Linked DNA regions of Saccharomyces cerevisiae S288C. Each later gene encodes a partner of the first gene's protein in a complex. Each region holds a gene or a part of one and is shown on either strand. Other genes may lie near its edges. The genes, in order: RTT103 and RAI1. A codon is read from its position in the direction of its gene.

Region 1 (3,924 bases):
ACGCCCAGTTTCAATAAAAATATTGCGAACTTCTTTCATCAACAATTCACAAACACGACGAACGTAGCAAAATGCTATGGTTCTTACGTTGTTCAATATCAATTGTACCAATATCTTTGCACTCTCTCTAATGAAATTTTCTCGTTTACGTTCGTGTTGAGGTAAAATTGGAGGATTCCACACCACTAGATGCTTAGCACCTGTAGGTGAGCCATCCTCGTGTATTAGCGTAACCTCATTAATTCCAAACATGTCCTTCATATGTTGTACTGGAGACTTTAAAGTTGCAGAACATGAAATAAATTGTAAACCACTATTTTCGTAAAAACAGTGGCACAGTCTTAGTAAACGTCTCATCACTAATGCCACGTGCGATCCAAATAAACCCTTATATATATGCAATTCATCGACCACCACTAACTTTAGATGGTACAAAAAATGTCTCCAATTTGCATGATTAGGTAAAATGCTGGTATGTATCATGTCAGGATTGGTAAAAATAACTCTAGCATTTTTACGAATATAAGCTCTTTCCTCTGGCTCCGTATCGCCGTCATACGTATCAACCACGGCATTCTTTAGCTCGGGGATCTTTGAAAGTATTACCTTGAATGCTCTTTTTTGATCTTGTGCCAGGGCCTTTGTTGGAAATATATACATAAACGTTGATTCAGGATCCTTTAAAAGAAGATCGATAGCTGCTAGTTGGTAAATAAGGGATTTACCTGAAGAGGTCGATGTTGTAATAATGACGTTTTCGCCTTGATGAAGACTGTTTATCGCATCTGCTTGATGGCTGTAGAAATTTTCGTGTTCCATACCCTGATATACTTCCGGTGCAAGCTCAAAACAGAGACCTTTATACTTCGCTGTTCTTGATGGTATTGTAAAACAATGCTTTATCTGAGAAGCGTAGAATTCAGTACTTTTTAATTTCTCAATCATTTGAGGAATTGTTGTTATCACTGAATTATTGGAATAATTGGGAATGCTCATCTCATTACTTTCTTGCTTCGCCTTCATCATTGCCTCAATAGGATCCTCATAATCTCTCTCCCTTGGAATATATTTCTGCGCTAGATTTGTTAACTCAGAAAATGGGTCAAGGTTAGCCTTTTCCTTTTCCAGGATAAATTCCCGTAGTCTGGATTTAAAGAGAGCTTCCCTTTTAGAAATCATCTTTTTCATTTCCTCCGTAGTATATGTTGGTATCTTTATTTGAGAAAATCTATCACTTGCAGACCATGAGCGTTGCATTGTACCGTCTATAAATTCAAATATAAGTAACTGAGTAGATTTTTGAGTCTGATTTTGGTCATCAACGTCCTTCAGTTCAAATATGTCATTTTCCTTCTGCTGAAAGCCGCCATTATTGAAGTCAAAAATCTTAGTTTCAGTATAAATTTGGTTCTCATCAATATACTTGAAAACACATTCTCTTGGCATTAGCGCCATAACCATGGCTAGGTCTTCTTTCGTCACAGTTCTTTTCAAAGCAGTTTCTATAGGTCCACAAAGTGTTTTAAATGTAGGCACAACATGCTTTCTGCAAATCAAAAAGGTGTAAAGAGTATTAAGGCGGAAAAAAAATTGTTCAAAATTTCTAAAGGCATCGGTCTTTCCACTCCCTTGACCTGCTGACTTCAGTTTCTTTTTGATAGGTCCTTCCTCCATTTTTCCTTCTCAAATGAACATTTCTTTTCTACGACCTTAACCATCTCAATATGTATAACGGTTCTGTTTTATAACGAAAAATGAAAAAGTTATTTTTTTCCTTTAAAAATATATAAACTTGAAAAGCCAACATAATAATATAAGTACAAGCGAAGAAGGTTTTAACGAAGAGGTAGAAAATTTGAAGAAAGCAATAATCCAAGATTAAAATAGACGGTATGCCTTTCTCTTCTGAGCAATTCACAACCAAATTAAATACGTTGGAAGATTCCCAAGAATCTATTTCCAGTGCCTCAAAGTGGTTGCTTCTACAGTATAGAGATGCTCCCAAAGTGGCAGAAATGTGGAAAGAATACATGTTAAGGCCTAGTGTAAACACAAGAAGGAAGTTATTGGGTCTTTACTTAATGAATCATGTTGTTCAACAGGCTAAAGGTCAAAAAATTATTCAATTTCAAGATTCCTTTGGAAAGGTGGCAGCAGAAGTATTGGGAAGAATTAATCAAGAGTTTCCGAGGGACCTAAAAAAGAAGTTGTCAAGAGTTGTGAATATACTAAAAGAAAGAAATATATTTTCCAAGCAGGTAGTCAATGACATAGAAAGAAGTCTTAAAACCGAGAGCTCACCAGTGGAAGCGTTGGTGTTACCCCAGAAATTGAAAGATTTTGCTAAGGACTATGAAAAATTAGTGAAAATGCACCATAATGTTTGCGCGATGAAAATGAGATTTGACAAATCATCAGATGAATTGGATCCATCCAGCTCAGTTTACGAGGAAAATTTTAAAACAATAAGTAAGATTGGGAACATGGCTAAAGATATAATAAATGAATCAATTCTAAAAAGAGAAAGCGGTATCCATAAACTGCAAAGCACACTGGACGATGAAAAAAGGCATCTAGATGAGGAACAGAATATGTTAAGTGAAATAGAATTCGTTTTATCTGCTAAAGACCCATCCAGATTAAATAAAAACGTTGATGAAGACAATATTATTCCTACGTATGAAGTGGGGGATGGAGATGACGATGACGATGATGGTGATAATGATGATGATGATGATGATGATGATGATGACAAAAATTACGATGATAGATCCAATGACAGCAATTATGGCGTTACTAATATTAGCACCACAGATAAGAAGAATGAAGTTGTAGAAAAGACAGATAGCGAACATAAAAACTCTACTCATAATCCTAGTGACAATCAATTTGGTATGAAACGAACACATGATATGATAGGTCATGATGACGCTAATGACATACCGGAAAAAAAGGTTCATCTTGATTCGAAGACGAGTGAAGATGGTACTTTCAACAGTGAGGATGGACATTATGAGTTAGATATAGAAGGCCACGTCGGCGCCCAAACCGACGAAGGTGTTGAGAATTCCGGAGGGGTTTCTTCTAGTATACAAGACTTGTTAAGTAAGCTTGCAAATTAATATGATGGTTGAGTAAAAAGAAAACAAGGAGATAACTTATACAAATATATAGTAACCCGTTTAAGTCCAGTCTTTTTTCGTAACTATTTGCCCATAGTTTATTTCGTATTCATCTTCACTATTTCCTCGACAAAAAAGATGCGCACCTAAACTACATGGACACCTATGCAATGCTATATAGAATATGAATCGCCAATGCTTTTTATTATATCATCGTGCAAACTTTTAGTCTGCTCCTTTTCAAGGCCCATGATTTCTTGCACCAATTTTTCAAGAGACTCTAGTCCAAGCTCAGCCTGAGTTCTTCTACCTATCCTGTATGATATCACTTCCCCGTCGGTATCGGATTTCTCCTCCAATCTGACTATATATTCGCGCTTTTCTAAACTTTTTATCAAATCTTCAATAGTAATGTTCAGTATAGCAATCTTTGAACCATCGCTTGGAATGCCAAATGTCTCTAGAAATTTGATCAATTCCTGATGTAATATGTTATTCTTAGAGAAGAAAACAATGCATAAAATGACGCTCAAAACACCCTTGTAAACAAGATCTCGATCTGTACTCAACTTGCTTTCTAAGGTATTGGAAGTTCCTGAAGCTATATCGTCACCAATATACTCTCCGGTAACTATTAGCTCTTCATAAGTGTGAGCGCTTTGTAAAATCTTGAAATCGTCAAAATTTTTTGAGTGCGGGACATTGTTTAGCAAGATAAATTTCTGGGCTCTATGTCCCAGTGGCTCAGGCATTGATTTATTTGTATTGCTATTGCTTCCATTACCGCCAGCGTTCATATTAT
Region 2 (3,726 bases), on another chromosome or scaffold:
CAGATCAAGTTCCATTCCAAGTTAATGACATTTCTGGATGGACCTTGGGATAAGACGAAGTTCCTCAAACCTTCGACAGTCATACCTCTTCTTCTCACACCCCTGACAGTTGGGAACCTTGGATCGTCCCAATTTCCGACCAAGTCCTTGTCAACCATCCATTGTAACTTTCTCTTAGACAACAAGGTTCTAACGAAATTGATACGAGCGAAATCCCAAATATGGACTTTTCTCAAACGCAAAGCTTGTAACATCCAATCATATTGAGCGTTACGGTCTCTATATTCAATGGTACGTAAAGCGTGGGTAACACCTTCAATAGCATCAACAATTGGGACACAGAAATCATAAGTTGGGTAGATCTTCCAAGTTGATCCGGTTCTGTGGTGAGGGGTTAGATTACATCTGTAAATGACAGGATCTCTTAGAGTCTTGTTCAAAGCCTTGTAATCGATCTTGGCACGAACACAGTTCTTCAAACCTTCTTCAGTACCGTTTTTCATTTCTTCGGTAAAAATTCTTAAGTTCTCTTCAACAGAACGATCTCTTCTGGCAGAAGCAACACCATCCATACGTTCTTCTCTCATCTTTTCAGTTGGAGTGTCGTCACAGTAAGCTTTACCATCCTTGATCATTTGAACACAGTAGTCGTACATTTCTTGGAAGTAGTCAGATGAGTAGGTTATTCTATCACCCTTGATTCCTAATAAATCCAAATCTTCCAAAATAGAGTCTTGGAATTCTTCCTTTTCCTTCGATGGGTTGGTGTCATCGAATCTAATAATCAACTTACCCTTGTAAGCTTGAGCAAAATATTGGTTCAACAAGGCAGCTTTGGCATGTCCAATATGTAAGTATCCAGAAGGTTCAGGTGGGAAACGAGTGACGACTTCACCCATTTTGGCATCTGGCAAATCAATTTCAAAGTTAGCCTTGTGAGTTTCCTTCTTCTTACCCACATTAGCACTTTTCTTTAATTCTAGTAAAGATTTGCTCAAGAAATCGTGAGCTTCGCCGAAGATGGGATCCATTTCTAACAAAGTGTACCAACGAGAAACGTTAACATCAACCTTGTTCTTGATGATGGAACCGCACATACCATTGGATCTTAAAGCACCCCAACATGCTACATCAGCGGCAGAATACTTCAAGCCGCCAAGAATAAAGGTTCTTAGGTTCAATTGAGAATCTAGTGTTTCCAATGATTGTGATAATTTAGCAAAGTTCTTGATAACTAATTCCTTTTGGGCCAGATTAACCCATTTAGCAACTTGCTCTTTATCACCATTATCGAAGATGGCGGCGAATTTGCTAGTTATCTTGTTGAAGACATCTTCAGTAGCATCATCGAGCTTGGCAGCAGGTGCTTTCTTATCGTCCACCAACTTAATAGCTATGGAGTTAGGAGCTAACGCATTCACAATACGAGCAGCAATTAGTTCAGCATAAGCCACAATTGGGGCTTTTCCATTAATAGTCAAGGTAGATGGCATCTTGATCCCTTCTATGCTTTCCTTAACCTTTGAAAATAGTTTCGTCATTCTTATGGAAGTTATCTTCCATTTTTTTCACTTTATCTTGCTTTTAACGAAGAAGAAAAAAAGAGTAAGCATTCGGGTAAATTGAAAAATTTACTTCGAGAATATTAGGAACAGATGAGGTCTGGTAATGTTACTAATACTTCTGTAATATGGTGAAAGAATAGCGAAATATTAGACCAACATAGTGTATCCCAATGGGTGTTAGTGCAAATTTGTTCGTAAAGCAAAGAGGGTCGACAACAGCTCTGAAGCAGCCAAAGGAAATAGGATTCTATTCAAGAACTAAGGATGAAGAATATTTAATTAGCGATGATACGAATTTGAATTACTACTATCTTCCAGACGCTGAATTGGACAGGAAGTTGGATCTTTCATCAGGATTTCAGAAATTTAAGGATTATTACAAAGATTTTGAAGACAGGTGTTCCCTGCGTGGGCTATTAGAAACCATAGAAAGCTCTGAAAGACATAAAGGAAAAAAAATTAATGCTGATATAATTACTTTTAGAGGAATAGCACGGAAATTAATTTCATGTGCATTTGACTCTCCATCTTTTAATACAGTTGATCTTCGTATCGTTTCATTCAACGGCCAACTTTTTATCAAGGAAGTGCCTGAAGCTGTCAATGCAGCTAAGGCTTCCTCTGCAACTGAAGCAGGGCGTAATATAAATCAAGATCTGAATGTATTTACAGGGTACAAGTTTGAAACTTTGGCTACTCTTTCCAATCCGTTGCAGTATACACCCCGTGAAGTGATAGAAAAAAGAACTAAAAGGATTGTATCGCATGGAGATGAATACATTAGTGTTGTGAGAACTGGTGTAGGTAACTGCAAGTTAATTCTTGGTGCTGAGGTGGATTGTATATTTGACTTTAAAGAAAACGGTAGAGACAATTTAAAACATTATGCCGAATTGAAATGTACGCAGCAAGTTGCGAACATATCGGATACGCATAAGTTTGAGCGTAAACTGTTCCGGACCTGGCTGCAATGCTTCTTAGTTGGGATCCCAAGGATCATATATGGTTTTAAAGACGACCATTATGTATTAAAAACTGTGGAAGAGTTTTCAACGGAGGAAGTACCTGTTTTATTAAAGAACAATAATCCACAAGTTGGAAGTGCATGTTTAGAAGCCATTAAATGGTATGGTCTCCTTACTGAGTGGCTTTTGAAAATGATACCAAGAGATGAGGATCCTCATTCTCAAATAAGAGCATTTAAGTTGGTTTTCGAAAATAATCACCTAAGATTATCCGAAATTGAAGAAAGTGATGAGGAATATTCAGGTTTGATTGATGGAGAACATATATTATCGAACGGGTTTAAGGAGTGGAGAAAATCTTTGAAATAACAATATTCCTTTATGTCTTTCCTGCGCATATCCTCATCGACGTATGGATCTAAATAATATAAATGTGCAGATTAGATTAAGTTATATACACTATGCATGGCGAACCGATTTTGTATCTTTATTATTGAGATAAACCCTGTATGATCCGAAACTCGTATTGGTAACAAATATTATACCTATTATGCTAATTAAAATGAAAAGGAAAGATCGTATACTGAACGCTTCAAAAAAAGCATTTATTACCTCCGCCAGAGTACGAGCCCATGCTTTAGCCCATTGGTAATCGGAGCCAGACACTATTTCCTTGTTCATACATTTTGACCATTCATTGCAACGTACCTCCAATGCTGGAACCCTCATATGAGGTTCGCACTGGTTTTCAAAATACCTTGATTTGCAAGTTGCAATTTTATCTAATTCTTCCCTCACGTTATGCTCCAGTTTTAAGTTAACATCGTTTCTTATCATCAAAATGAATTTAATAGCAAGAGACAGTCCTATAGTTCCTATAATAAAATTGAAAAAAAGCTGTATATACTCCGCAATTAAACTTGGGCTCAACCAAATGCTTTGTCGGGCTAATCTAGCATCTTGCGGATGTTCACCTTCCAATACTTCCTCCCTTCCCAATCTTGGGTTAGCAAGTATGCCATCAGGCTGTCTAGAAAAACTACGGAGTTCCATTCCGGGACTTATGTTGGGATAGGGGATTCAAAGATGAGTCTACATAAGTTAACTCATCAATAATAATGGAAAGAAGTTTCATTAGTTACTACTAGTATTTTGCTTGCTCCCGGGTAATGAATTTTTCCGCTTTTCATCTACGT

What was found.
Region 2: the proteins of RTT103 (region 1) and RAI1 are in contact, whole or in part, in a cryo-EM structure (PDB 9FMS), measured with the Saccharomyces cerevisiae proteins. Residues at the interface, in NP_010575.1 of Saccharomyces cerevisiae: Asp257 (codon at 2,661), Ile259 (codon at 2,667), Ile260 (codon at 2,670), Pro261 (codon at 2,673), Thr262 (codon at 2,676), Tyr263 (codon at 2,679), Glu264 (codon at 2,682), Asp267 (codon at 2,691), Asp269 (codon at 2,697); in NP_011268.1 of Saccharomyces cerevisiae: Thr16 (codon at 1,781), Ala17 (codon at 1,784), Leu18 (codon at 1,787), Lys19 (codon at 1,790), Gln20 (codon at 1,793), Pro21 (codon at 1,796), Asn98 (codon at 2,027), Arg208 (codon at 2,357), Lys215 (codon at 2,378), Trp265 (codon at 2,528), Cys268 (codon at 2,537), Phe269 (codon at 2,540), Gly272 (codon at 2,549), Pro299 (codon at 2,630), Val300 (codon at 2,633), Lys303 (codon at 2,642), Cys313 (codon at 2,672), Leu314 (codon at 2,675), Ile317 (codon at 2,684).

Annotation. Positions count from the first base shown.
Region 1 is NC_001136.10:1,037,478-1,041,401, reverse strand, and holds RTT103 (Rtt103p), read left to right. Parts: upstream 1-1,892; coding exon 1,893-3,122; downstream 3,123-3,924. Other genes in the region: HRQ1 (ATP-dependent 3'-5' DNA helicase), read right to left, coding at 1-1,674; Smc5-Smc6 complex subunit NSE3, read right to left, coding at 3,296-3,924. UniProt on the Saccharomyces cerevisiae protein: Involved in transcription termination by RNA polymerase II and in regulation of Ty1 transposition.
Region 2 is NC_001139.9:36,790-40,515, reverse strand, and holds RAI1 (decapping nuclease), read left to right. Parts: upstream 1-1,735; coding exon 1,736-2,899; downstream 2,900-3,726. Other genes in the region: glutamate--tRNA ligase GUS1, read right to left, coding at 1-1,493; BRR6 (Brr6p), read right to left, coding at 2,990-3,583. UniProt on the Saccharomyces cerevisiae protein: Decapping enzyme for NAD-capped RNAs: specifically hydrolyzes the nicotinamide adenine dinucleotide (NAD) cap from a subset of RNAs by removing the entire NAD moiety from the 5'-end of an NAD-capped RNA.